4 linked regions of the Anolis sagrei genome follow. Each later gene encodes a partner of the first gene's protein in a complex. Links are inferred from orthologs where the notes say so. Each region holds a gene or a part of one and is shown in the gene's direction. Other genes may lie near its edges. The genes, in order: GAS8, IQCG, DRC7 and TCTE1.

Region 1 (7,938 bases):
TTATACCTCACTTTTTCTCCCCACAAGGAAACTCCTATTTGTATATTTATATTATTATTATTATTTTACTGACACAAATACACAGTATGTCACAGCAAACGAGATCTCTATGCTGGATTTCGTATCACAAAATCACAAGTTGAACACTTCCCAAGCGTCTAGGACTGTGTGATGTATTTTCGAATGATGTGTGCAGATCCAAGTCAGGTGGCCTTTTGCAGTTGACAGAGAGATTTTGTCAATGTTTATTGTTTCCAAATGCTGGCTGACGTCTTTTGCCATGGCACTCAGTGCACCAATGACCATTGGGACCACCTGTACTGGTTGATGCCAGAGGCTTTGCAGTTCGATTTTGAGGTCCTGATAGCGGCTGCATTTTTCCTGTTGTTTTTCCTCAATGCGACTGTCACCTGGTATGGCGACATCAATCATCCAAACTTTTTTCTTTTCCACAATCGTGATGTCTGGTGCATTGTGTTCCAAAACTTCCAATAATAATAATTATAATTATAATTATAATTATAATTATAATTATTATTATTATTATTATACCTCACTTTTTCTCTCCACAAGGAGACTCTATTTGTATATTTTACAAAGCCAATAGGAAAGAAATCCACTCCGGGTTTTACTTTGGACTTCAAAGGAGTCTTCTAAGGTGCTGAATGGCTGCTAGAGGCTCAGGACCTTGGAAAGCTCCTTGAAGGTATGAGGTAAAACTGGGACTGGATTCCCCATTTCACTGACATGGGGCCCACTGTTGTGTACCATTGTTGTTATTTTGACTGTTTTGTTTTGCCCTGGTTTTATAGGTCTCAAATGAGTCCCTTTATGAAGATAAAAAATGGGATTAATATAAAATAGATTAAAAATATTGCCTTTTAATAATGTATTTTAATGCTGGTATTATAGGAATTTGGTTTGCCTCAACATTTAAAAAAATGACTCCATTCTGTACAATTAGGTTTTTTCTCACAACTAAATTTTCAGTATAGTGTAGGTTGAGGCTCTTTCATCTGAAATGTTTTTAATATGTTTATTTCTGTTCACATTTGGGACTTTGGAGGATTTTGAAATATGTATCTTTGCTGGGTTGTTGTAGGTTTTTTTAGGCTATGTGGCCATGTTCTAGAGGCATTCTCTCCTGACGTTTTGCCTGCATCTATTGCAAGCATCCTCAGAGTTTGTGAGACCTCACAACCTCTGAAAATGCTTGCCATAGATGGAGGCGAAACATCAGGAGATAATGCTTCTAGAACATAGTCATTTATTGTACTTTATTACATATATTATAAATATATATATTATATATATAATTATATATTATATAATTATAATCATTATTGAGCACTCTAACTGGAGATCAGCTGTGACCAGCAGTGCTGCAGAATTCAAAGGCACGAATGGAGGGCGAAAGGGAGAAAGGTGACAAGAGTAAGGCATGTCAAGCCAACCCAGACTGGGACCACCTTCTGCCTGGAAACCAATGTCCTCACTGCAGGAGAACATGCAAACAAGAATAGGTCTCCAAAGCCACCTATAGACCCACCACCAAGACACTACACTAGAAGGACCATCATCCTCGGGCTACAAGGGATTGCATAACTAAGTAAATATTATAATATTATATATTATATAATAATTTTCTTGGAGCTGTCGTCCAGTGAAGATCATGTCTACTGTTCCTCTGGAGGGTCGGAAGCCATTCTGAGATTCTGGTAGGGTGTCTTCCCAGGTAAAAGGTGGTTTCCAAAGATTCTTGCAAGGATTTTCCCACTGGAGGTCAGAAGGGAGATGCATCTGTTGTTTCCCCTTTTTTGAAAAGGGTGATGATGGTGACATCCTTGAAGTCTTCTTGGATTTTCTTAGTCATCCACATGTTTTCAATGAACTGGTGGATTTGTTGTATTAGCTCAGGTACACCCTCTTTAAAGATCTCAGCAGGGATCCCATCAGGTCCACTGGCTATGTTATGTTTTTGTTGGCTGGACGTTGCTGACTTCCTCCAAACCAGGCAGGGCTGCAAGCTCATCCCTGGTTAGTTGTTGTGGGATTTGTGAGAGAACAAATCAGGAGGTTGTGGTAGTGCTCTTTCTAACGTAGTGCAATTGATTTTTTGTCCTTCAGAAGTTTGGTTCCATCTGATGAGTGTAGGAGGGTGTATGCCATGATTTCTTGGTCTGTAATTACCTTTGTGGCTTTAAAAAAATCCCTGAGCATCATGGATATCTGTACAAGGAATCTGTACAAGGACCAAGTAGCAACAGTAAGAACTGACCACGGAACAACAGACTGGTTCAAGATTGGGAAAGGCGTACGGCCAGGCTGCATACTCTCACCCAATCTTTTTGCAGAACACATCATGCAATGTATGCAGAACACATCATGCAATGTGCGGGGCTTGATGAATGCAAAGCTGGGGTGAAAATTGCTGGAAGAAACATTAACAACCTCAGATATGCAGATGACACCACTCTGATGGCCGAAAGCGAGGAGGAGCTGAGGAGCCTTCTAATCAAGGTGAAAGAAGAAAGCGCATAAGCTGGGTTGCAGCTAAACGTCAAAAAAACCAAGATTATGGCAACAAGAATGATTGACAACTGGAAAATAGAGGAAGAAATCGTGGAGGCCGTGACAGACTTTGTATTTCTAGGTGCAAAGATAACTGCAGATGCAGACTGTGGCCAGGAAATCAGAAGACGCTTACTTCTTGGGAGGAGAGCAATGTCCAGTCTCGATAAAATAGTGAAGAGTAGAGACATCAGACTGGCAACAAAGATCCGCCTAGTCAAAGCCATGGTATTCCCTGTAGTAACCTACGGATGTGAGAGCTGGACTTTAGGGAAGGCTGGGCGAAGGAAGATAGATGCTTTTGAACTGAGGTGCTGGAGGAAAGTTCTGAGAGTGCCTTGGACTGCGAGAAGATCCAACCAGTCCATCCTCCAGGAAATAAAGCCCGGCTGCTCACTGGAGGGAAGGAGACTAGAGACAAAGTTGAAGTACTTTGGTCACATCATGAGGAGACAGCAAAGCCTGGAGAAGACAATTATGCTGGGGAAAGTGGAAGGCAAAAGGAAGAGGGGCCGACCAAGGGCAAGATGGATGGATGGCATCCTTGAAGTGACTGGACTGACCTTGAAGGAGCTGGGGGCAGTGATGGCCAACAGGGAGCTCTGGTGTGGGCTGGTCCTTGAGGTCACGAAGCGTCAGAGACGACTGAACGAATGAACAACAACAACATCATGGATATCTGCAAAGTGTTGGATTTCTTCATTGAACATCGAGAAAACCAAAGTGCTCTTCCAGCAGTTACCTGCCAATCCCTCTGCAATGCCAGAAATACAGCTTAATGGTGTAACATTACCTTGGCCGCCACCTCTCCACAAAAGTCAACACTGACCCTGAAATACAACACCACCTGAGCTCTGCAAGTGCAGCATTTTTCCAAATGAAGCAGAGAGTGTTTCAGGATTGGGACATCTGTAGGGAGACCAAGGTGCTCACTATGAAATGCAGTTGTTTCATACTTTATAATACTTTATTACAATTGATTACATATATTATGTGATATTATAATATATAATAATATAAAATTATTAGATATATAATATATTGTTATTATATATGATATTATTTTTTGTTTATTTCGTATCAAAAGCATTGCATAAATTAGTAAAAAAAAACTACATTACTGCATAAATTAGAAAGATACTCCACTTTGGCAGGAAAAACGAAATGCAAAGATACAGAATGGGGGATGATGCCTGGCTTGAGAGCAATACGTGTGAAAAAGATCTTGGAGTCCTCGTGGACAACAAGTTAAACATGAGCCAACAATGTGATGTGGCGGCAAAAAAAGCCAATGGGATTTTGGCCTGCATCAATAGGAGCATAGTGTCTAGATCTAGGGAAGTCATGCTACCCCTCTATTCCGCTTTGGTTAGACCACACCTGGAATATTGTGTCCAATTCTGGGCCCACAATTGAAGAGAGATATTGACAAGCTGGAATGTGTCCAGGGGAGAGCGACTAAAATGATAAAAGATCTGGAGAACAAGCCCTATGAGGAGCGGCTTAAGGAGCTGGGCATGTTTAGCCTGAAGAAGAGAAGGCTGAGAGGGGATATGATAGCCATGTATAAATACGTGAGAGGAAGCCACAGGGAGGAGGGAGCAAGCTTGTTTTCTGCTTCCCTGGAGACTAGGACGCAAAACAATGGCTTCAAACTACAAGAGAGGAGATTCCACCTGAACATGAGGAAGAACTTCCTGACTGTGAGAGCCGTTCAGCAGTGGAACTCTCTGCCCCGGAGTGTGGTGGAGGCTCCTTCTTTGGAAGCTTTTAAACAGAGGCTGGATGGCCATCTGTCAGGGGTGATTTGAATGCAATATTCCTGCTTCTTGGTAGAAAGGGGTTGGACTGGATGGCCCATGAGGTCTCTTCCAACTCTTTGATTCTATGATTCTATGACTACATTATATATTATTATGTATGCTATTATATATTATAATATATAATAATATAATATATATAATATATGAAATCAGTTAAAATATAATCATACTTATAAAGTATTATAATATATTATGAGCATGCTTATATTTTAATGGATTATATCCAAAATGTAATATTATTATATGTAATAATATACAATACCATAATAATATATATTATAATATTATATAGAATAATATTATCTTATGTAAAACAATAATATCATTATTATAATATAAGGAAATTCTGCATATAATATTTTAAATAGTTTTTTGGGCATGAATCAAAGCTTGTGTCCATTGTAGGAGCCAATTGGTATCAGATGAAGAGCCAAAGGGTGAAAAAAAACACCCTCCTTCTCCCTGTAACTAGGGGCGGGGCCTCGTTGCTAGGGGCGCGGCTTCTTGGCCAAGGGCGGAGCCGAGGCTCTCGCGAGATTTGGGCTACGGTTGCTTGGCAACCAGAAGACTCTGGGCCTAGTCTTCTAGAGAGACACTGAAGCCGTCACCATGGTGAGTCTGTCCAGTGGGAGGGAGAGAGTTGTGATGATGATGATGATGATGATGATGTAGGTTGTGTATATGGCCCACCTTAGTAGCTGAGAGAGTGGCTATGTCGTGGTTTGAGGGTTGAGAGAACAGGGGAAGCCACACTGTCAAATTAATGCGGATTGATTCCACTTCAGCGTCTTTAGCTCCATGCTATGGAGTCATTGGAGTTGTAGTTTGCAATCTTTGGGCAGAGAAGGCCTTGTGAAACTTCGACCCTTTCTACACTGCCATAGAATCCAGATTATCAAAGCAGAAAATCCACATTATTTGCTTTGAACTGGATTGTATGAATCTACACTGCCATAGAATCTAGATTATCAAAGCAGACAATCCACAATACCTGCTTTGAATTGGATTATATGCAGCTACACTCCCATAGAATCCAGATTATCAAAGCAGACAATCCACATAATCTCTTTTGAACTGGATTTTATGTATCTACACTGCCATAGAATCCAGATGATCAAAGCAGGCAATCCACATTATCTGCTTTGAACTGGATTATATAAATCTATGTTGCCATATAATCCAGTTCAAATAAGATAATCTGGATTTTATATGGCAGCGTAGAAGGGGTCTATGACTCCCAGGAACCATAGCACTGAACTGTGGCCTTTCAAGTGGGGTTAAACCGCATTAATTTTTCAGTGTAGACAAACAGTTTTGGGATTTGTCATCCAAAGAGATATAATACAACAAAGATGGACTTGATGGATTCTGGGAACTGCTGCCTAAAAAGAAAAGAAAAAAGAATATAATAATAATAATAAAGCTTTATTTATATCCTTCCCTATCTCCCCGAGGGGACTCAGAGTGGTTTACAACAGATATCGGCAAACGTTCAATGCCATGAGAAGCTGAATAAAGACAAAACTAACCAACTCCCCAAATCCCAAAAACAAATCCACATCTACATCAAAAATAATAACACATTATACTGCAATATTGCTACTAATATTATATGTAATATATACTATACACTTATCATATTATTGTATATTATTATATTGTACTATATTATCAAACCACAATGTATATCATACACTACCAGTACAATATACTATTAGTATTATATAATATCCCAATTTGTTTTTAACAGTGTTGTAACTGCAAGGAGAGGCGGGTAATAAAATAATAATATTTATTATTATCATTCTTATGACATCCCATCTTTTCTGGTGGATGGAGCTCCTGATAGCGCAATGGGTTAAACCCCTGTGCTGGCAGGACTGCTGACCAAGAGGTCAACGGTTCAAATCTGGGAAGAGCGGGTTGAGCTCCCTCTGTCAGCTCCAGCTCCCCATGCGGGGACATGAGAGATGCCTCCCACAAGGATGCCTCCCACCAAACATCCAGGCGTCCCCTGGGTAATGTCCTTGCAGGCAGCCAATTCTTACACTAAAAGCGACTTGCAGTTTCTCAACTTGCTCCTGACATGGGAAAAAAAACCCTTTTCCGGCAACCTAGTCAACTTTGGACCATGAATTTTGGGGTTTGCATTCTCTTGCCATTGTATCTTGGTCCTTATACCATATGTTTTGGCGGATTTTGATATATGTATTTTGTTGTATGCGTTTTTGTTGATGTATTTTGACTTTTTATTATTGTTATTTTATTATTTTAAATCTTGCAGGCTAAATCTAAAAATATTCGCACACTAATCCAGGTGTGGGCAAACTTTGGCCCTAAAGGTGTTTTGTACTTCAACTCCCACAATTCTAACAGCGGTAGGCTGTTAGGAATTGTGGGAGTTGAAGTCCAAAACACCTGGAGGGTCAAAGTTTGCGCATGCCTGCACTAACCCAACAGATACATCTGTACATATACTAAACAAGCAACTACAGGAACAATTCTGTGAAGCTTACACTCATTAATGTGTTTTGACTGTGTTGTACCCTGCCTCAAGCCATTGGGAGAGGTAGGTAACAGGTACAATGTATTATTATTATTATTTTGTTATTGTTACTATTTTTTAATATTGCAGACTAAATCTAAAAAAAAAAATTGCACACTACCCCAAAACATACCTACACTAATGTACACAGACTGAACACACAACTACAGGAACAATTCTATGAACTCATACTCATTGTCTGTTGATTTTTATCTCTTACTAGCTTGGGTACCTGAGTTACTTGAAAAAGACATGGTTTGTTTTTGGATGTTATAAATGGACCAATTAGAAATTAGCAGGTTAACGGAGTTATCAGTTGTCTTTGGATGGGGTTAGCAGTACTCTTTGGATGAGGGTAAAGGAACTGCAAATCCCATTGTCCATGGACCATCTCCCCCAAACCTCAGCAGGACATAAAGTCTCATGAGGAGGTCTCTTTGCCAAAATTAGTCCAGGTCCATGGCTGATGGGGTCTGCAGCAGCCTCTGGATGTAGGTGAAGGAACTGCAACTCCCATCATCCAGGTCCTTCCCCCAAAAAGCACCACAAAGACTTAAAGTGGGTCATCGGGTATCTGTGTGCCAAGTTTGGTCCAGATCCATGGCTGATGGGGTTTGCGGTAGTCTCTGGATGCGGGTGAAGGTACTGCAAATCCCATCATCCATGGTCCATCCTCCCCAAACTTCATCAGGCTGTAAAATGGGTCATGGGGGGCCCTTCCAGACAGGCCCTATATTACAGGATCCAATCTCAGGTTTTCTGCTTATCTGGCAGTGAGGACTCATATAATCCAGGTTATATAACTGCCATAGATGTGGATGAAATGTCAGGAGAGAATGCTTCTGGGTTATAGGGCCTGTCTTGAAGGGCCCAGGGAGTCTGTATCCCAAGTTTGGTCCGGGTCCGTCATTGGAGGTCTGTGGAAGCCAAAGCAGTTGAAGGTACTCCAAATCCCATCGTCCATGGTGCATCCTCCTCCAAACATTACCAGGATGTAAA
Region 2 (7,328 bases), on another chromosome or scaffold:
TGCATCGTCAGTCATTCCATATATTCATTTACGTCTAGTTATGCTCTAGTAGAAAAAGCTTGCTTGAAGATCCAGGTCTTAACCATTTTGCGGAATGTTAGAATGGAGGGGCCACCACTGAGATGGCCCTGTCTCTCATCCCCAATATGATATATTGTATGTATATGTATCTTGTAAGCTACTCTGAGTCCCCTTCGGGGTGAGAAGGGCAGCATATAAATGTTGCAAATAAATAAATAAAAAAATAAATGATGAAGGACATGTTTTTGTATCTTCTCTTTTTGCCATTCAGTGGCAATTTGCAACTGAAGTAAGTTGAGGACAAAGGAGGAGAGAAGAACTAGAATGTTTTAGCAACAGCAAACAAAGCGGGATGATAAAGGATTAATTGGGACTATTTAAGGGTGCATTTATAATATAGAATTAATGCAGTTTGAAATCCCTTTAACTGGCTCAATGTTATGGAATCCTGGGAGTTGTAGTTTTGTTAGGAAGCAGTCTTCCTTGGCAGACCTTGTAAAACGACAACTCTGAGGATTCCATAGCATTGAGCCAGGGAAGTGAAAGTGGCATCAAATCACATTAATTCTACAGTGAAGATGCAGCCAGCAGTGAATTTCTTGTTTAGACTTCGGTTCCATTTCTATTATGGCAGAATTTAAAAACAAAATTAAAGATTCTTCTCTTCAGGCAGGCCTACCCAATCAAACCTGAATCACAAGTTTTTAATTTGCATTGCATTGTCACTATATGTTGATTTCTATACCCCATGTATGTTCTTAATTATAGTGTTTTTATCTGTGTATTTTATGTTAGTTTTTCATCGACTTAAATCAAGAAATAGTTTTCTAAGATCTACAGAGACACTTGCTGGAACACCTCAGCAAGCGAGAGTCCAAAAGTGGCAGGCTCAAACCCAGAACCTCAACCAATGGCTGATACCAAATGAGAGAGTCCCTCCTGGGCACACAGAAGACTGGGTGACTTGGAAGGCACTGAACAGACTGCGCTCCACAAGATGCAAAGTCAACCTTAAGAAATGGAGCTACAAAGTGGAATCCACAACATGCGAGTGTGGTGAAGAGCAAACCACTGTCCACCTGCTGCAATGCAACCTGAGCCCTGCCACATGCACAATGGAGGACCTTCTTGTGGCAACACCAGAGGCACTCCAAGTGGTCAGATACTGGTTCAAAGGACATTTAATCAACTACCAAGCTTGCAAACTTTGAGTTTTGTTTGTTTGTTAAAAAATGCAATGCAACTGTTTGGTCTGCCTCTGACACGATAAATAAATAAATATGTTAGTTTGTCTTGATTTTATTCAGGAATGGGCAAACTTCAGTCCTCCAGGTGTTTTCGACTTCACCTCCATTAGGCTTTTAGGAATTGTGGGAGTTGAGGACCAATAATAATAATAATAATAATAATTCCTTATTTCTAGACTGCCCTCTCTCCCCGGAAAGACTCAGGGCGGTTTACAAAATATATGGAGGGAGGGCCGAAGTTTGCCTACGCCCATTCTATGTTGTATCCTGCCTCGAGCCAAGGCAGAGAGTATAAATAAAGTGTACTATTGTGTTGTTGAAGGCTTTCATGCCCAGAATCAATGGATTGCTGTGAGTTTTTTGGACTGTGTGGCCATGTTCCAGTTGATTTCTCTCCTGCTTCTGTGGCTGGCATCTTCAGAGGTTCTGTTGGCAATGAAGCAAGTCTATCTATCTGCAGAATGTCCATGGCGGGAGGAAGAACACTTGTCTGTGAATGTTGCAATTAGTAAGAATTGAGTAGCCTTTCACCTGCAGTATCAATCTGTGAAGTTATCTGCTTAGAGGTGGTTAACAGTATTAAAAAAAAACACCAGAATTAGGATAGTAAATAAGGAACACCACTCAGAAACAGAACTCCAGATAGCAAACAATCAAGAGCCAATTAACACCCCCCAGAGGATGTCTCCAGGCAACAAAGAGCAGGCTCCCTCTATGCCAGTGGTTCCTAGCCTTTGGGCCTCCAGGAATTTTGAACTTTAGCTCCCACAGTTCCTAACAGCTGGTCCAAAACACCTGGAGCCCAAAGGTTGGGAACCACTGCTCTATGCAGATACCTTACCATTGACTTTACAGCTTAGTGGCTACTCAATGCTATTCAAGCTTGCTAATTGCAACATTCACATTTGTGTTAAGCAAACAAGGGTTCTTTCTTCCACCTTGGACATTTATCCCACAGGTTTATATATATATATACTAGCCGTCCCCTGCCGCGCGTTGCTGTGGTCCAGTCTCTGTATTTGTGTTTTGTGTGTGTATATATTTTTATTTTTGTGTATATATGTGGTTTTGCGCATGTGTTCTAATGTTTTGGTTTGGTTTTTTTGCTTTTTATGTCTTTTTTGCTGTGTTTTTCAGTATTTTCATGAGTGATGGTTACTTCTTGGCCTGATACGTGTATTGTGTCCAATTTGGTGTCAATTTACCCAGTGGTTTTTGAGTGATGTTAATCCCACAAATGAACATTACATTTTTATTTATATAGATGGATATATATTGTAAATAAGTAATTATATTTATTATAGTAGCATCACTATTTCAATATTATTATATTGTATTATGATTAGCACTATATTGCATTACATTATAATATTATTATCAATATTACATGTATATACAATATACTAAATTAGCATAACACACTATTAGTATTATATATTTCTATATTGTAGCATAGCACTATACTGCAATCTATATAAATAAAAATGCAATGTTCGTTTGTGGGATTAACAGAACTCAAAAACCACTGGGGGAATTGCAACCAAATTTGGCCACAAGACACCTACTAACCCAAGGAGTGACCATCACTAAAAAAAAATGAGTTTGTCATTTGGGAGTTGTAGTTGCTGGGATGTATAGTTCACCTACAAACAAAGAGCATTCATAACCCCACCAACGATGGAATTGAACCAAACTTGGCACACATTTCTCCCATGACCAACAGAAAATACTGGAAGGGTTTGGTGGGCAGTGTCCTTTGGTTTTGGAGTTGTAGTTCACCTACATCCAGAGATCACTGTGGACTCAAACAATGATGGATCTGGACCAAACTCTACACGAACACTCAATATGCCCAAATGTGAACACTGGTGGAGTTTGGGGGAAATAGAATCTTGACATCTGGGAGTTGTAGTTGCTGGGATTTATAGTTCACCTACAATCACAGAGCATTCTGAACGCCACTGATAGAATTGGGCCAAACCTCCCATACAGAACCCTCATGTGGGCCACTGCAACGCTTGGCAGGTGACGACTAGTGTGTGTGTGTGTGTGTATATATATATATATATATATATATATATATATATATATACACACACACACATATGTGATATATATATATATATATATATATATATATATATATAAGTAAAGCACAATATTATATATTACTAGCTGTTCCCTGCCACGCATTGCTGTGGCCCAGTCTGTTGATCTGGAAAATAAAGTAATGAGAAAGTGTTGGTTTCTAATATATGTAATTTCTTTATGCTTGTGGATAAACAGTATTTCTTGTTGTTTCTTTGTCAGTGTTGATGTGTCTTTTGTCCCACCCTGGTCATTCCACAGATATATAAACCCCTTTTCCTACTTCCAACAGACCACACTATCTCTGAGGATGCTTGCCATAGATGCAGGCGAAACGTCAGGAGAGAATGCCTCTAGGACATGGCCACATAGCCCGAAAAAAACCACAAGAACCTAGTGATTCCAGCCATGAAAGCCTTCGACAATACAGGCCTTCCTTCCTTCCCTTCGTCCCATGGAATCAGCCAGCTAAGGCGTAGAAACGAAACTAGGCCAGGCCGCAGCATCCGGCCTCCATCCACGGCATCCCACCGCCTTCCGCCGCCATCCCCGGCTCCTTCCACTCCTCAGACCTCGCTTCACCCGCCGACCCCACTCGGGAGCCGCTTTCCCCGCGGTTTCCACGGATTCCTCCCCACGAAACGCGCGCCCCCCTTCCTCACCTCAGCAGCACCGGCCCAAGATGGCGGCAGAAAGAGAGAGCGGCGCCGCGGTGCAAGCCGGGATAGGGGGACAAAATCGCCAGGACCCCTTCCTTGTTTAGAGATAGGTGGTTACGCTATTCGCCTGACTGAAATATCACAACATTTTGGGGGGTATTTTAAAAAGTGGAATTTAAAACTTCGATTTGGGTGTTTGATTTCCAATATCGAGCTTTTATTTCATCCTCTGTAATTTAACGATTTTTAAAAAATGTCAGGCTTTTATATAGACAGCCTTTTGCTAATGTGAGGGCCCCACAGGAAGTGAGTGGTAACCATGGCGACGTCAAGCTGTGCAAGTGATACCTCTTGGTGAGTGAGTCCCTTCAGAACGGTTCTATTGAGTTGAGAGGGTTTTTCACACAGGAAAAGCATTCAGGAAACATTTGGGAGAAAGCAGCAGAAATTCCAAACACAAAAAGAGGGAATGCAGTGAATATTAAGATGGAAACTATCCCAAGAGAGGAGGCCTCAAGGCCTTCACTAAAGTTAGGCCTCAGGAAAAGGGAAGAACAAATTATCCATCTATCTATCTATCTATCTTTACTTACTTAGGCAATCCCTCATTGTCCAAGTAGGATTGTCTTCTCTCTTTCACCTTCCATTTGTGCCTCTTCAAATTCTGCAGCACTGCTGGTCACAGCTGACCTCCAGCTGGAGCGCTCAAGGGCCAGGACTTCCCAGTTCTCAGTGTCTATGCCTGTGCAGGTACAGCTGTACCAGGAGCTCCAATTTTGTTTGCTTTGCATTGAATGTTTGTAGTCCTAAGTTTCAGGGACTCTGCAGATAGGTGGCTTCTTTTGGCTGCAATCATAGGGCAAGCCACCAGTCAATTATAGTTAGGTTCCCTGGTCCCGCCCCCTTTGGGTTTTTGGAGGGAATAGGAGCCAGTTTGGGTACAGTCCACACAGAGAAGGTTTTCGCACAGGACATAATACCAAGAGCTCCTGTAGAAAGCTTTGTCCATTTTTCAATCTCTTTTCATGTCTTCCAACATTCAATTTTCCGTTCTTGAGTTCGGAGTAGAGTAACTGCTTTGGAGACGGTGGTCGGGCATAATAATAATAATAATACTTTATTTATTTGTTTATTTTAAAATAAATAAAAATAAACGAAACAGAGTGGCAACAATTATGGAGACAAAGACATTAAAAAAATTATCAATACGTGTTAAAGAAAATTATTATAAGTTAATATGGAAGTGGTATCTGACACCAGTAAGATTAGCATATATAAATAAAAATAATTCAAAAAATTGTTGGAGAGGATGTCAAGAACCAGGAATATATATACATATGTGGTGGCAATGTAAATATGTAAATAATTTTTGGGGGAAAGTATTTAGAGAAATAGAAGATATAATGAACATTAAAATTGAGAAAAGCCCTAGTATAGCTTTATTATATAACAATACACAATGGAAAAAGGAGGATAAAGAAACGATAACAAACTTATTAACTATAGCAAGACTGCTCATAGCAAGGAATTGGAAAAAAGAAATGAATATACAAATAGAGGAGTGGTATAAGGAAGCATGGAAAATAGCAATAAATGATAAATTGACATGTATATTAAAAGTTCAAAAAGGTATATGGAAACAAAGTGATTTTGATGTTGTATGGGGAAAATTTGTAGTAAATGGTTTAAAAAACAAAGAAGGAAAGTTACCGTCACAAGAAGAATTGAAATTTTGGACAGACGATATGTAAAAGTTGTGGCTTGATATGGGGGGAGGGGAGCACAGTGGTGGGAAACAAAGGGGGAAAATGCTTAAGTAGAATAATAAGATTATATGTTAAAGAGTGTGTTGAATAATATGTAACTGCTATAACCAAACGCATAACAAATGTAATAACTATGATAAAAAAAAGAAAACCAAATTCTGCAGTACTGCTGGTCACAGCTGACCTTCAGCTGGAGCGCTCAAGGGCCAGGACTTCCCAGTTCTCAGTGTCTATGCCAGAGTTTTTGAGGTTGGCTTTGAGCCAATCTTTAAATCTCTTTTCCTGTCTTCCAACATTCAATTTTCCGTTCTTGAGTCCGGAGTAGAGCAACTGCTTTGGCAGACAGTGGTCGGGCATAATAATAATAATAATAATAATAATACTTTATTTATACCCCGCTACCATCTCCCCAAGGGACTCGGTGCAGCTTACATGAGGCCAAGCCCAACAGTACATCAATAAACAAAAGCAATAACAAAAACAATCAATACAATACAATTAATATAAATCACATAAACAATAAACAGTAACACACAAGAATTTAAAAACCTATGGCCGGGCCAAATGTAATAGTTTAAAATTTAAAAAAATAACGCTGAGCATGAATAAGGTAGGATATAACTGGTATAGGGTTTTCAAAGAGAGATGAGGGAACGCAGTCAGTCCTAAATCAGTGGTAAAGTGCATTTTGAGGGCATATTGCTGAGAGTTTTCCTTATTCTGGGAAGGCACACTGGAACAACCACATTTTGGGGCCCCTCCTAAAGACTGCCAATGTGGGGGCTTGTCTGATATCTTTAGGTAGAGAGTTCTAGAGTCGGGGGGCCACCATAGAGAAGGCCTTCTCCCTCGTCCCTGCCAATCGTGCCTGCGAAGGAGGTGGGAGCGCGAGTAGGGCTTCTCTAGATGATCGAAGAGATAATGTGGGTTCGTACACAGAAATGCGGTCATGCAGGTAGGCGGGTCTCAAACCGTTTAGGGCTTTGTAGGTAAGAACCTACAACGTGACCGGTCCAGCGGAGTTGATGGCAGAGGAACATCGCTTCAATGCTGGTGGTCTTTGCTTCTTCCAGAACACTGACGTTTGTCCGCTTGTCTTCCCAAGAGATTTGCAGGATTTTCTGAAGGCAGCGCTGATGGAATCGTTCCAGGAGTTGCATGTGACGTCTGTAGACAGTCCACGTTTCGCAGGCATATAGCAGGGTTGGGAGGACAATAGCTTTATAAACAAGCACCTTGGTCTCCCTATGGATGTCCCGGTCCTCAAACACTCTCTGCTTCATTTGGAAAAAAGCTGCACTCGCAGAGCTCAGGCAGTATTGTATTTCAGTGTCAATGCTGACTTTTGTGGAGAGGTGACTGCCAAAGTAGCGGAAATGGTCAACATTTTCTAATGTTACACTATTAAGCTGTATTTCTGGCATTGGAGAGGGGTTGGCTGCTGACTGCTGGAAGAGCACTTTGGTTTTCTTGATGTTCAATGACAGGCTGAGCTTCTCATATGCTTCTGTGAAGGTGTATAGAGTGGCTTGTAGGTCTTCTTCTGA
Region 3 (7,619 bases), about 23 Mb from region 1:
AAAGCAAATGTGATTTTTGAAATTTGGGAATAACTACTATGTTGGATCCTTAGGAGCTCTCCAGCACATATTATAGTATTATATTATATTATATTATATTATATTATATTATATTATATTATATTATATTACTAGCTTGGTTGCCTGGGTTATTTGAAAAAGTCAATTTTCTTAATTGTCTCAAATGCATAAAGTTGTGGGGGAACTAGAACTCACATCGTGTCAGGTTAACCCTGAGAAACTCCATCCGTTCTTAAAGCTTGTTCTGGATGCATCATCTGGATGCATCATTCAGTGTACTCTCCGGCTGCAGGGTAAACTACAACTCCCACTATGGTGAGTCATTCCCCTCAAACCCCTCCAGTAGGTTGGGTTAGTCATGGGGTTCTGGGTGCTAAATGTGGTCCAGGTCCATCATTGGTTGAGGTCACAGTTTCTCTGGTTGTGAGTGAACTACAACTCCCAGAAAGGAAGCTCCTTCCAACTACCTCTAGTAATCAAATTTTGGAAGGAGAAGGAGGAGATGGAAATGAAGATGTAAAAAGGAAGGAGAAAGGGTGGAGATGGAGAGATGAAAAAGGAAGGAAGGAAGGAAGGAAGGAAGGAAGGAAGGAAGGAAGGACAAGAAAATGAGATGGAGATGGAGGGATGAAAAAGGAGGAAAGGAAGGAGATGGAGAAATGGAGATGGAAGGAGAAGGGGAGAGATGAAGAAGGAAGGAAGGAAGGAAGAGGAGGAGATGGAGAGATGAAAAAGAAAGGAAGGAGAAGGAAGAGATGGAAATGAAGATGTAAAAAGGAAGGAGAAAGGGTGGAGATGAAGAGATGAAGAAGGAAGGAAGAACAAGAAAATGAGGTGGAGATGGAGGGATGAAAAAGGGAGAAAGGAAGGAGATGGAGAAATGGAGATGGAAGGAGAAGGGGAGATGGAGAGATGAAGAAGGAAGGAAGGAAGGAAGGAAGGAAGGAAGGAAGGAAAGAAAGAAGGAAGGATGGAAGGAAGGAAGGAAGGAAGGAAGGAAGAGGAGGAGATGGAGAGATGAAAAAGAAAGGAAGGCGAAGGAAGAGATGGAAATGAAGATGTAAAAAGGAAGGAGAAAGGGTGGAGATAGAGAGATGAGGAAGGAAGGAAGGAAGGAAGGAAGGAAGGAAGGAAGGAAGGACAAGAAAATGAGGTGGAGATGGAGGGATGAAAAAGGAAGAAAGGAAGGAGATGGAGAAATTGAGATGGAAGGAGAAGGGGAGATGGAGAGATGAAAAAGGAAGAAAGGAGGAGGAGGAGATAAAGAGATGAAAAAGAAAGGGTGGAGATGGAGATGGAGATATAAAAAGGGAGGAGAAAGGGTGGAGATGGAGAAATGAAAGAAGGACAAGAAAATAAGATGGCGATCAAGGGATAAAAAAGGAAGAGAGGAAGGAGATGGAGAAATGGAGAAGGAAGGAGAAGGGGAGATGGAGAGATGAGGAAGGAAGGAAGGAAGGAAGGAAGGAAGGAAGGAAGGAAGGGAAAGAAAATGAAATGGAGATGGAGGGATGAAAAAGGAAGAAAGGAAGGAGATGGAGAAATGAAAAAAAAACCAAGGAAGGAGAATGAGATGGAGAAATGAAAAAGAAAGGAAGAAGGAGGAGATGGAGATATAAAAAGGAAGGAGAAAGGGAGGAGATGGAGAGATGAAAAATGAAGGAAGGAAGCAAGCAAGGAAGAAGAAGAGATGGAGATGGAGGGATGAGGAAGGAAGGAAGGAAGGAGATGGAGAAATGAAAAAAAACCAATGAAGGAAAATGAGATGGAGAAATGAAAAAGAAAGGAAGGAGAAGGAGGAGATGGAGATGAAGATATAAAAAGGAAGGAGAAAGGGAGGAGATGGAGAGATGAAAAACGAAGGAAGGAAGGAAGGAAGGAAGGAAGAAGAAGAAGAAATGGAGATGGAGGGATGAGGAAGGAAGGAAGGAAGGAAGGAAGGAAGGAAGGAAGGAAGGAAGGAAGGAAAGAAGGAAGGGAGAGTGGGAGGGACGGAGGAAAAGGAAAAGGAAAGGATTGCACGAAAGGAAGGAGGGAAAGAAAGGGAGGAAGGAAGGAAGGAAGAAGAGAAAAGGACTCTTGGGCATTCAGTCTGTTCTGAGTGTGAATATAAGAGAAGACTTGCCCATTTGCCCTCTCCATGGCCAATTCTGGGTGGCATCCTTTGCCCAACTAGAGAAGGGACATCCAGATGGCTATTTTCTGTCTTTCTCAGGAAGGTCTCCATTGCCCAAGGAAGCCCTTGCAGGCTACCAGCTTAACCTTGGTGCATAATTGTCATATTTTCCTCCTAAATCAACTGAGATAAAGGATGTGCTAGAGGCCCTATTCTTGCCTTGTTATCTCCCAGCACAAAAAAACAACAACATCGAAGGGCAGCTTGACCTGATGAAACACAACCTCCAGCCCTTCCTTCCTTTCTGTCCTGCTTCTCAGTGTTTGTTGACGTTCCTGAATGGCCTCTCCAACAGGAACACTGGAAGAGATTATGATGTGGGAGATATCAAGGGGCAGGATAGAGAATGAATATATATATATATATATATATATATATATATATATATATCCTGACAATGAATTTTATGAAAAACACAGTGGAAGAGACTTAAAGAAATACAAAATACGTTACAATGCTTGTGCAAAACCACACACACACGTAAACACACATAATATTTTGTGACCCAATTCTCCTTAATGTTCATTTGTGGAATTAACATAACTAAAAAAAACAAAACACACTGGACGAATTGACACCAGATTCGGACACAAGACACCTCTCAGGCCAACGAGTGACCATCACTCATAAAAACACTGAAAAACACAGCGGAAGAGACTTAAAAAGCAAAAAAAAAAATACATTACAACAAATGCACACAAATATATATATATATATATATGCAAACACACCTATATACACATCTATACAAATATATACACACTCATATGCACATTAGGCTTGGGCGGTTTCGTTCATTAATTTCGTAATTAGTTATTAATTTGTATTTAAATTAGCTTACGATCTGATATTGAGCCATGCAGAAATAGTGTGAGGAGTAAATTAGATTCGAAACAATTTTTTCAATTTATTTCGTAATTATTTTGTAATTATTTTGTAATTATTTCGTAATTATTTCGTAATTATTTCGTAATTATTTTCACATGTCTGGTGCAAGTTTTATAGTTGTTGTTTGTTTTATCACACCAACAGTCAACAACAGAGGGAGAGGGAAGCTTCAGAAGTTCCCCCTGTCCCATTTGGAGGTTTTTTTAGCATATTGTGCAGTTGCGTCCGCAATTAACGAATCGATTCGTAATTATACAAAACTTCGTATATTTCGAAATTTTTAAAAGGAAAATTTTGGAATTATTAAAAAAAAAACGAAACGCAAGGGCCCCCTAAAAGCAAAACGAGTTTAGAACCAAATTTTTCCGTGGTTACCCAAGCCTAATATATATATATATATATATATATATATGCGCAAACACACCTATCTATACAAATATATACACACTGATATACACATAGCACATATGTGTATATTGTTGTTAATTCGTTCAGTCGTCTCAGACTCTTCGTGACCTTATGGACCAGCCCACGCCAGAGCTCCCTGTCGGCCGTCACCACCCCCAGCTCCTTCAAGGTCAGTCCAGTCACTTCAAGGATGCCACCCATCCATCTTGCCCTTGGTCGGCCCCTCTTCCTTTTGCCTTCCACTTTCCCCAGCATAATAGTCTTCTCTAGGCTTTGCTGTCTCCTCATGATGTGGCCAAAGTACTTCAACTTTGTATATTTGTGTGTATAACACACACAAATATACACATAATGCAAACACACAAAACAAATGTACACAGACTGGGCCACAGCAACGTGTGGCAGTGGACGGCTAGTATAAATAAAAATGTAATGTTTGTGTGTGGGATTTCAAAGCTCTCTGCTAGAGCAGTGATGGCACGATCGTCAGCATAGATGAAGCTCTCCGTCCCTTCTGGCAGTGGCTGGTCATTTGTGTAGATGTTGAACATGGATGGAGCAAGCACGCTCCCCTGAGGCAGGCCGTTCTCCTGTTTCCGCCATCTGCTTCTCTGGCCCTGGGACTCAACAAAAAAGCTCCTGTTTTGTAGCAGGTTTCCTATGAAGCAGGTGAAGTGGTAATCCTTTGCGATATAATACTTTTTTTTCTCAGGAAGAGGTGATGATTTACAGTATCAGGTTGGTTCATCAGGTGCTAATCAAGGTGGTCAGTTGAAGCATTCACACCTAGCTCCAGCAGACAACAGTCCTTTGTCCCACCCTGGTCATTCCACAGATATATAAACCCATTTTCCTACTTCCAACAGACCTCAATAACTGAGGATGCTTGCCATAGATGCAGGTGAAATGTCAGGAGAAAATACCTTTGAAGACAGTTCCTTGAAGGAAAATTAGTATAATGTCAAGTTTATGTTTTTTTCTATACATTATAGCCGTGTTCTTAATTTGCTTCTGATACGACAAAAAATAAATAAACCTGTTGCATCCTTAAAACATCAAAATATTCAAATATATGACAAGAGAACCCTTCCTTTGATTCCTACAGGCTTTCGCTCCCTAGGTTTTGCAAAGGACCGGCAGCGAAATGGATACAAGCGAAGAAAGCTACGGACTCCAAGGAGAAGAAGAGGAGGAGGAGGAGGAAGACGATGAGCTGAGTTCTTTCAATCTCAGCGATGAAGTCCAAGACTTGGAGGAGCAGCTCTCCCAGATCCAAGTCCATATCCCTGAAGTTTTATAGTAAGGAGGAAGGAGAGGAGAAAGGGAGGAAAAGGAGGGAGGATTGCATTATGTAACTGTATTCGAAAAAGTTTCTGTTCCTGCTTTGAAAGCATTATTTCCTGTTTAATGGTGTGGTCCTTACTTTGAAAGTAGTTGTTCTACTCCAGAAACTTTGTTTCTGTGGCAGAAACTATGTTAAACTAGCTGCACCCACCACGCGTTGCTGTGACTAACCTTCCCTCCCTCTTTCTCTCCTTCCTTCCTTCCTTCCTTCCTTCCCTCTTTTTCTTTTCCTTCCTCTTTCCCTTCTTCTTCCTTCCTTCTCTACCTGTTTCTTTCCTCCCTTCCTTTGCTCTTTGGTTCCATCCTACCTTCTCTCTTTCCTTCCTTCTCTCCCTCTTTCTCTCTTTTGTTCCTTCTCTCCTTCCTTCCCTCTCTCCCTCCTTCCTTCTTTCACTTTTTATTTTCTTCTCTCCTTCCTTCCTTCCTTCCTTCCTTCTTTTCTTCTTTCCTTCCCTCCTTCTCTCCCTCCTTTTCTCCTTCCTTCCTTCCTTCCTTCCTTCCTTCCTTCCTTCCTTCCTTCCTTCCCTCTTTTTCTTTCCCTTCCTCTTTCCCTTCTTCTTTCTTCCTTCTCTACCTGTTTCTTTCCTCCCTTCCTTTGCTCTTTGGTTCCATCCTACCTTCTCTCTTTCCTTCCTTCTCTCCCTCTTTCTCTCTTTTGTTCCTTCTCTCCTTCCTTCCCTCTCTCCCTCCTTCCTTCTTTCACTTTTTATTTCCTTCTCTCCTTCCTTCCTTCCTTCCTTCCTTCTTTTCTTCTTTCCTTCCCTCCTTCTCTCCCTCCTTTTCTCCTTCCTTCCTTCCTTCCTTCCTTCCTTCCTTCCTTCCTTCCTTCCCTCTTTTTCTTTCCCTTCCTCTTTCCCTTCTTCTTTCTTCCTTCTCTACCTGTTTCTTTCCTCCCTTCCTTTGCTCTTTGGTTCCATCCTACCTTCTCTCTTTCCTTCCTTCTCTCCCTCTTTCTCTCTTTTGTTCCTTCTCTCCTTCCTTCCCTCTCTCCCTCCTTCCTTCTTTCACTTTTTATTTCCTTCTCTCCTTCCTTCCTTCCCTTCCTTCCTTCCTTCCTTCCTTCCTTCTTTTCTTCTTTCCTTCCCTCCTTCTCTCCCTCCTTTTCTCCTTCCTTCCTTCCTTCCTTCCTTCCTTCCTTCCTTCCTTCCCTCTTTTTCTTTCCCTTCCTCTTTCCCTTCTTCTTTCTTCCTTCTCTACCTGTTTCTTTCCTCCTTTCCTTTGCTCTTTGGTTCCATCCTACCTTCTCTCTTTCCTTCCTTCTCTCCCTCTTTCTCTCTTTTGTTCCTTCTCTCCTTCCTTCCCTCTCTCCCTCCTTCCTTCTTTCACTTTTTATTTCCTTCTCTCCTTCCTTCCTTCCTTCCTTCCTTCCTTCCTTCCTTCTTTTCTTCTTTCCTTCCCTCCTTCTCTCCCTCCTTTTCTCCTTCCTTCCTTCCTTCCTTCCTTCCTTCCTTCCTTCCTTCCTTCCCTCTTTTTCTTTCCCTTCCTCTTTCCCTTCTTCTTTCTTCCTTCTCTACCTGTTTCTTTCCTCCCTTCCTTTGCTCTTTGGTTCCATCCTACCTTCTCTCTTTCCTTCCTTCTCTCCCTCTTTCTCTCTTTTGTTCCTTCTCTCCTTCCTTCCCTCTCTTCCTCCTTCCTTCTTTCATTTTTTATTTCCTTCTCTCCTTCCTTCCTTCCTTCCTTCCTTCCTTCTTTTCTTCTTTCCTTCCCTCCTTCTCTCCCTCCTTTTCTCCTTCCTTCCTTCCTTCCTTCCTTCCTTCCTTCCTTCCTTCCCTCTTTTTCTTTCCCTTCCTCTTTCCCTTCTTCTTTCTTCCTTCTCTACCTGTTTCTTTCCTCCCTTCCTTTGCTCTTTGGTTCCATCTTTCTTTCTTTCTTTCTTTCTTTCTTTCTTTCTTTCCTTCTTTCCTTCCCTCCCTCTTTCTCTCTTTTTATCCCTTCTCTCCTTCCTTCTTTCTTTCACTTTTATTTCCTTCTCTCCTTCCTTCCTTCCTTCCTTCCTTCATTCATTCATTCCTTCTTTTCTGCTTTCCTTCCCTCCTTTTCTCCTTCCTTCCTTCCTTCCTTCCTTCCCTCTTTTTCTTTTCTTTCCTCTTTCCCTTCTTTCTTCCTTCTCTACCTGTTTCTTTCCTCCCTTCCTTTGCTCTTTGGTTCCATCCTACCTTCTCTCTTTCCTTTTTTCTTTTTTTCTTTCTTTCTTTACTTCCCTCCCTCTTTCTCTCTTTTTATCCCTTCTCTTCTTCCTTCCCTCTCTCCCTCCTTCCTTCTTTCACTTTTTATTTGTTGTTTTATTGTAGGTGAACTATAACTCCCAGCAGCAACAACACCCAAATCTCAAGGTCTATTTCCCCCAAAATCCACCAATATTCACATTTGGGCATATTGAGTATTTGTGCCAAGTTTGGTCCAGATCCATCATTGTTTGAGTCCAAAGTGCTCTCTGGATGTAGATGAACTACAACTCTCCAACTCAAGGTCACTGCCCACCAAACCCTTCCAGTATTTTCTGTTGGTCATGGGAGTTCTGTGTGCCAAGATTGGTTCAATTCCATCATTGATGGAGTTCAAGATGCCCTTTGATTGTAGGTGAACTATAAATCCCAGCAACTACAACTCCCAAATGTCAAGGTCTATTTTTCTCAAACTTCATTATTCACATTTGGACATATTGAGTTTTCTTGCCAAGTTTTGTCCAGATCCATCATTACTTAAGTCCACAGTGCTCTCTGGATATAGGTGAACTACAACTCCCAAACTCAAGGTCAATGCCCACCAACCCCTTCCAGTA
Region 4 (7,292 bases), on another chromosome or scaffold:
TGAAGTCTATTTCTCTTTTTCTAATGATACGCTACTAAAAACTAGGAATAAAATCACACAAGCCTATTTTTAATGGTATGCTGTAGGCCATGAAAGGATCTGCCAATTTATTATGTTAATATTATTTGTGTATTGTCGAAGGCTTTCATGGCTGGAATCACTGGGTTGTTGTAGGTTTTTTGGGCTATATGGCCATGTTCTAGAAGCATTCTCTCCTGACGTTTCGCCTGCATCTATGGCAAGCATCCTCAGAGGTTGTGAGGTCTGACCTCACAACCTCTGAGGATGCTTGTCATAGATGCAGGCGAAACGTTAGGAGAGAATGCTTCTAGAACATGGCCATATAGCCTGAACAATTTACAACAACAAAATATTATTTGTGTTTAAACACACGGCATTTGAGTGAGATAATGTGTTCACACATGTTCATGTCTATCAAATAGCATCAGAAATATTAATTTAGAAATGGAATTTTAGCAAAAATTATACAGAGATAAACAATTGACCTCTAAAGCCATGGGTTTTTGCAGGTTGTTTCTGAGGGTACTTCTACACATGCTGCAAAACCCAGAAGTAACAGAATTAAAAGTAGGTGTGTGTGGCTAAACAACATTTAGCCAAAGTGCAGGAAGGATCGAGTTAAGAGGTTAAAAGCACATGTTAAAAAGGTACACTCAAAACCCAATTCGACCTGAAAAAGGTGCACCTCTGCATGATCCTTGCAGTCATGCAAAACACATGCTTTCCTTCCCTCCTCCCTGTTTGATATCCACAGATAACTAGGAATATCCTTTATTAAATGTGATAGCAGGGGAAAAGGGGAAAGACTTTGGCCCCTTCCACACAGCTGAATAAAATCCCACATTATCTGCTTTGAACAGGAATATATGGCAGTGTGGACTAACCCAGTTCAAAACAGATATTGTGGGATTTTCTGCCTTGATATTCTGGGTTATATGGCTGTGTTAAAGGGCCCTAGGTTTGACATGGGGCACATCTACAACAATCACTTAAGGCAGCTTGAATCCAACTTCAAACTGTGGCAGCTACAAAATGTATGCAGCCAAAACATGCCGCAGCATGACTTAAAGGGTTTAATTCTCTACTTCATCACACTAGAGAATTAATCCACTTTCTGCCTCTTGCAGAATTCTGGGGTTTGTAGTTTAGTGGGGCTGTAAAAGGTTCCTCCCTAAATTACAAACTCCAGAATTCTGCAAGAGGCAGCAACCGGATTTAAAGTGGATTCATTCTCTAGTGTGATGAAGTACCAAACAAAGTTGCAGGAAAGTTAAACCCTAAAATGTGCTTTAATGAGCCCCTAATATTAAATATTATTTATTAAACATTAAATATATAATATGGCAAAATAGCTCCCTAAAATACAAAGCACATTGTAGACACCTGCCTGCACTAAAGTGCATTTTACCATTTGGGAAGGATAGGGTGGCTGTCGAAAAACACCCCAAGGGCATAGCTGTGCAGCAAGGGACTACATGATCCTTTGGGACTGGTGATTAATTATCTCCACTACTACTTAGTACTTATGCGATCCCTTGTTGGACAAGTAGGATAGTCTTCCATGATCAGTATTGTTGTGGATCCATAGGTGGCTGTGGAGCCCTATTCTTGACCTATTCTCCACTAGTAATTATTACTTCACCCCCCACCCCCCCGGGCACATATGTCTCCACATCTCTAGTGGGCATCTCACAGGATATTTAGGGGCATGGCACTGTGGATGTGGAACCAGTTTAAGGCCACCTTCCATCTGTCAATGTAATCAATCACCTTCCTGGTCTTAATCCTGTTCTTGTCAAGTCGAATAGATCACCTGCACAATGAAACCAATTTCTGCCAAACCAACTCCAAAGTGACCTAAGTTGTCAGTATAGATATGACCTACATATCAATATTTCCCGTGTCAAAATGACTGCTTTGCTGCCCTGCCTGCTGTTTCCCTTTCCACAAAAGCTTCAGAGAATTGGTGTTTCTTAATGGAGGTATGGTACACTGCATCAATGTATCCTATCTCTTTATCTAAGTTGCATTTCTGACTGTTACTTATGTTGTTATTTTGCTTAAAGGAGAGCCTGTCAAAGAGATTAAGCAAGACATATGACCTACTGTACCTTTCAATTGCTCTGCTTCACTGGAGAATGTCTTATGGCATTTGCATTGCTCTTGAAATACTGTTCTACAAACAAAGAGTACTTAGAAGTACCTAGCCACTCATTGCAAAAATGAACTTTATAACAATATTTTATACAAGAGGTTGTTCAATTATTGCAGTTGTTACCACTACTTCCCTAATGATCTTACTGAACCCTGTTCATATCACTGGTAGAAATTAAGATTAGCTGAGGAAATAAACATTATTTTCCTACTTCTTTTATCTACTATTTCAGTATTTGATTTTTATAGTAAGGAAAGCATTAGTAAAGGTTTTCCCTTAACATTAAGTCCAGGAGTGTCTGACTCTGGGGGTTGGTGCTCATCTCTATGTCTAAGCCGAAGAGCAGGCGTTGTCCATAGACACCTCCAAGGTGATGTGGCCAGCATGACTGAATGGAGAGCTATTACCTTCCCGCCAGAGCAGTGCCTATTAATCTACTCACATTTGCATCCAGCCTGTTTAAAAGTTTCCAAAGAAGGAGCCTCCACCACACTCCAGGGCAGAGAGTTCCACAGCTGAACGGCTCTCACAGGCAGGATATGATATACATTATTATGATTATATAACTGTATTACTTTCGTGATCACAGGCCATGCTCTATTAAAGAGTCTGGGGAGGGATAGCCCATTTGCATATATATATATATATATATAGAGAGAGAGAGAGAGAGAGAGAGAGAGATGAATATAAACCTGGTGGCACAATAGGTTAAAGCACTGAACTGCTGAACTTGTTGACTGAAAGGTTGCAGGTTTGAATCCGGGGAGCAGCATGAGCCCCCGCTGTCAGCCCCAGCTTCTGCCAACCTAGGAGTTCGAAAACATGCAAATATAAGTAAATCAATAGGTACCGCTCCGGCGGGAAGGTAATGGCACTCCTTGCAGTCATACTAGCCACATGACCTTGGAGGTGTCTATGGAAAACACCAGCTTTTTGGGTTAGAAATGGGGATGAGCACCAACCCCCAGAGTCGGACATGACTAGACTTAATGTCAGGGGAAAACCTTTACCTACCTATAAACCCATTAACAATAAAAAGTGCAAACAACCAAGCAGATGGGTTCCACTCAGGTCATAAAGCTCATTGGCAGTCAATCAAGGCATCACATTCTCAGTGTTTATATTTAATCGACACAGAATGTCCTTCCAAATGGAAAGTTGAGGAGGAGGCAAAGACAAGTCATCCAGCACATTCATTACTCATTGCTTGTTAGACTGTTGATCACTCTCCCATTGTGGAACCCAAACATTTGGGATAAAGGAGACTCTGGGTGCATCTACACTGTAGAATTAATGCAGTTTGACACCCCTTTAAGACCTTGTAGATCTACAACCCCCATTATTTCATTGCATTTGAGCCCTGCCAGTTAAAGTGCTGTTGAACTGCGTTTATGCTACAGTGTAGATGCATCCTCAACCTGCATTTAACAGCCACATCAAGAAGATGATGTCTCCTTCTTAGGAAAAAACAACACTCAGGGTGCCAACAGAATAGCCAATCAGGAGGCGCTCTCAAGGGAAAGGGGCGGGGCTTGGTTTCATCTCATCCAGAAATTCCTGCTTCCAAGCTATCGCACACACCTTGCCGTAAGCTCCGCCCCCAGGCGGTTCCTCCCGCCCATTTCTGAAAAAAAAGCAATGGGCGGCTCCCGCCTGCTGATTGGACATCACCCTCGGCTCGTGCCTCTAAGGGGTGTGGTCTACGCTGTGAAGCCCCGCCCTTGGCAACGCTTCTCGTTTCCTTAGCAACGGACTGCTCTGCGGCCTAGACTGCCAGGTGGGCGAATGAAACCTGAGGGGACACCTGTTTCGAGGGTGGGGGGGACCAGGAAAGAGGGGCCTGGGACGTTCAGGCCAGTGAAATGTCGAGTCTTGGGTCCCTACAGGGAAAGAGTGGAGGATGCAATAGAATTCAGAGAAGGACCTCAAGGACCTTTCCCACCACAGCTGCTTCAGCTGAGTGGGAGAAAGGAAAGGGGCTGGGGCTGTTAGGAATGCTGGGAGTTGAAGTCCAAAACACACGGAGGGCCCAAGTTTGCCCATGCCTGATCTATACTGTAATGGATGCAGTTTAGGCCGTCTTAACAGCCATAACCGGGATTATGGCGCAGCTGGCTGAGTGTCAGCTGCATTAAGATCACTCTGACCAAAAGGTCATGAGTGGGTTTCCAACCAATTGTGTGTAGCCTGTTGTCGACCTTTGCAACCTGAAAGACAGTTGGGGAGGCTAAATTAACTGATTTATGAGGCCATAAAGAAGACTCCAGCAAAGCATTCCAGCGGGGAAGCATGCAGGAATGCGGAGGTGCTTCATCAGCGTCGCAGATGGACGATGAAAGCGACAGCTCCCCTGGCGGCCAGAAAAAGTTAAATAGCCTCTGTATGTCTGTATATGTTTGTATGTCAAAAATTGGCATTGCATGTTTGCCATATATGTGTACACTGTAATCTGCCCTGAGTCCCCTGCAGGGTGAGAAGGGTGGAATATAAAAGCTGTAAATAAATAAATAAATAAATGACACATTGCTATAGAATTACGGGAGCTGTAGCGTACTGATGATTGACCAAACTAAAACTCCCATGATCCCTTAGCATTGAGCCATACTGGGGTCAAATTACATTAATGTAAATCCTGTGGCTGTCTCCTGCAGAAGCTTGTAGTTTAGAGAGGGGCCTTTAAAATGCCCGGCCAGCGAGGTCCTGGGCCCCACTGATCTACAAACCCCGAAATGAAGAGTGTTGTTTTTTGGGGGGTTTTTTTGTGAAATAGAAATTCATTTTTTTCCATTTTATTTCTGCCCCCGGAACTAAATTTTCTGCTAAAGAAGTAATGTCTGTGGATCACATCTACTTTGCTAACTGAAGTGTGCCTGCAATAACTGCAGAATGCAGTTAGGTTTTCATGATCAGCCAGGTAAACCAGCAGCAAGTTTTCTCACACTGAGTCCGCAGACTATTAGATTATCTATTTCTCTGGTAAAGTAAAGGTAAAGGTTTCCCTGGACATTAAGTCTAGTCATGTCAGACTCCAGAGAGTGGTGCTCATCTCCATTTCTAAGCCTAAGAGCCAGCGTTGTCCGTAGATTCCTCCAAGGTCATGTGGCTGACACGACTGCATGGAGTGCTGTTGCCTTCCCGCAGAAGCAGTACCTATTGAGCTACTCATATTTATATGTTTTCAGACTGTTAGGTTGACAGAGGCAGGGAGCTCACCCTGCTCCCCGGATTCAAACCGCCAACCTTTCAGTCAGTAAGTTCCACAGCTCAATAGTTTAATCCACTGCATCACCAGGGGGCCCTTTGTCTCTGTAGGCAGCAATAAATTAGGTAATGCTTCCACATACTGTGGTTTTTTTCTGAGCTATATTTTGTATAGTCTTGAACCTTTTCTTTTTGAGGAGCCTATTTATCCTTAAACACTTCAGTTTAGGCCAACTTTTCATTTTCAGTTTTCTTTTTTAAAAATCAGTAAATGTTGCTGTTAAGAAACATGATATTCATCTCTCCATTTCAGTTGTGATTTATATATGTTGTTGCAGCTTCTTGATTGTATATTAGTACACTCTCTTTTAATGGAAATCTATGTGAGTATGCTACTGAGATTGTGTTTGTTTCTGTATATTACAACTCACTTGAAAACTGATGTGAAATAACTATTCTCCCTAAACTATCTTGCTCCCATTAGAAAATATGGTTATATTCATTCCTAGGCCCTATCTACACTTTGAAACTATAGCATATTGTAGAGGAATGTAGAGAAGACTTATATAATACCGTTTAAATGCATTATATGGGTCTATACAAATTCTATAATGCAGTTTCAAACTGCATTATAAGGCATTGTAGATGGGGCCTAAAGAATGTGAAAGCAATATAATTTGAGCACACATAATCTGCAAAACTCCAAAATTGTCCTCATGGGTGGCTAAGGTAGTGACATTTTTTTTTTTTTTTTTTTTTTGCTTTCTAATGGTTTACTGTCCAAACTTTGTTTCATGGGCATTGTTTTTTATATTGCATAAAATTGCCTTCAGGCTATGTGTATATGGTGTGCATGAAACATAGATGAATTTTCTGATAAGACTTGGGACTCATCTCCAAGATAACTCATTATGTACATACAGGCAGGCCTGTAGCGAGGGGGGCGGTTTAGGGGTTCAATCCCCCCCCCAAATGTTTCAGATTTTTTTAAAAACCTGGTTTACTCATGAATTTTAACTGGTTAACCAAATCCCATTGCTAAGTCTATGAAATACAAAAAATTAAGAGTCCCTCCAGAACTATCTCAAGCAAATATTGACAATTTATTCACACTGTCATTACTTGCAGCAATAGCCGATGTAGTGAAGCAACCAAATTGTGGTTTGTGTGTTGAATGCTCTCATTAAGGAGGCCAGACTTGGTGGAGATGGTTGACAGGGACGGAGCTGCAGGCTATTGAAGGCTGCTCTGGCCCCTGCTGTATTCTTTGCTTCAGCGTGAGCTAGGAGGCAGGTTGCAACCCCCCCCCCCGCACGAAAATTTGAAACCCCCCTTGCAAAAATGTCAACCCCCCCCCCTGAAAATTTCACCCCTCCCCGTGAAAATTTGAAAACCCCCCCCGTGAAAATTTCAACCCCCCCCCCCCCCCCGTGAAAATTTCAACCCCTCCCGAAATTTTTTTCTGGCTACGGCCCTGCATACAGGTATTCCAAAATCCAAAACAATTGTGGTCCCAAGCATTTCTGATAAAGGATATCCAACCTTTAGTGCATTTCTTATCAGCAGATTTCTGAAAGCATGACAATTTAACTAAAGTTCTGAATGTTGAAAAGCAACTAACAAATGAAACCAATGAGCTAAATGCTTTAGGAGTCTGTCCCGACACAAATGGGAAAAAAATACAACGCTTTTTTCTTTTCTAGTTTTAGGATTCATTATCTGGCCCGTTCACAAATATATGTGAATAATTTAGATTGGGGAATCAGTTATATATTTGGCACTGAATTTTTTCTAACAGTCACTTTGTAGTGTAGATTACTGGGGTCTGAAATAGGTGGAATATATTATTATTTTCTCACTCTCCTAACAGCATTTCAGCATGGTCATTAATGCATAATGTTAGGAAACTATATGT

What was found.
Region 2: GAS8 (region 1) and IQCG share a complex: the UniProt entries of both Homo sapiens proteins name them as parts of the nexin-dynein regulatory complex. The link is inferred for Anolis sagrei from reciprocal best matches to the Homo sapiens genes DRC4 and DRC9.
Region 3: GAS8 (region 1) and DRC7 share a complex: the UniProt entries of both Homo sapiens proteins name them as parts of the nexin-dynein regulatory complex. The link is inferred for Anolis sagrei from reciprocal best matches to the Homo sapiens genes DRC4 and DRC7.
Region 4: GAS8 (region 1) and TCTE1 share a complex: the UniProt entries of both Homo sapiens proteins name them as parts of the nexin-dynein regulatory complex. The link is inferred for Anolis sagrei from reciprocal best matches to the Homo sapiens genes DRC4 and DRC5.

What each region holds. Positions count from the first base shown.
Region 1 is NC_090028.1:28,333,330-28,341,267, forward strand, and holds the start of GAS8 (dynein regulatory complex subunit 4), read left to right. Parts: upstream 1-4,919; 5' UTR 4,920-5,003; coding exon 5,004-5,006; intron 5,007-7,938. UniProt on the Homo sapiens protein: Component of the nexin-dynein regulatory complex (N-DRC), a key regulator of ciliary/flagellar motility which maintains the alignment and integrity of the distal axoneme and regulates microtubule sliding in motile axonemes.
Region 2 is NC_090023.1:267,626,632-267,633,959, forward strand, and holds the start of IQCG (dynein regulatory complex protein 9), read left to right. Parts: upstream 1-4,313; 5' UTR 4,314-4,334; coding exon 4,335-4,369; intron 4,370-7,328. UniProt on the Homo sapiens protein: Component of the nexin-dynein regulatory complex (N-DRC), a key regulator of ciliary/flagellar motility which maintains the alignment and integrity of the distal axoneme and regulates microtubule sliding in motile axonemes.
Region 3 is NC_090028.1:5,375,180-5,382,798, forward strand, and holds the start of DRC7 (dynein regulatory complex subunit 7), read left to right. Parts: upstream 1-4,602; 5' UTR 4,603-4,637; coding exon 4,638-4,792; intron 4,793-7,619. UniProt on the Homo sapiens protein: Component of the nexin-dynein regulatory complex (N-DRC) a key regulator of ciliary/flagellar motility which maintains the alignment and integrity of the distal axoneme and regulates microtubule sliding in motile axonemes.
Region 4 is NC_090021.1:48,122,853-48,130,144, forward strand, and holds the start of TCTE1 (dynein regulatory complex subunit 5), read left to right. Parts: upstream 1-4,289; 5' UTR 4,290-4,556; intron 4,557-7,292. UniProt on the Homo sapiens protein: Component of the nexin-dynein regulatory complex (N-DRC) a key regulator of ciliary/flagellar motility which maintains the alignment and integrity of the distal axoneme and regulates microtubule sliding in motile axonemes.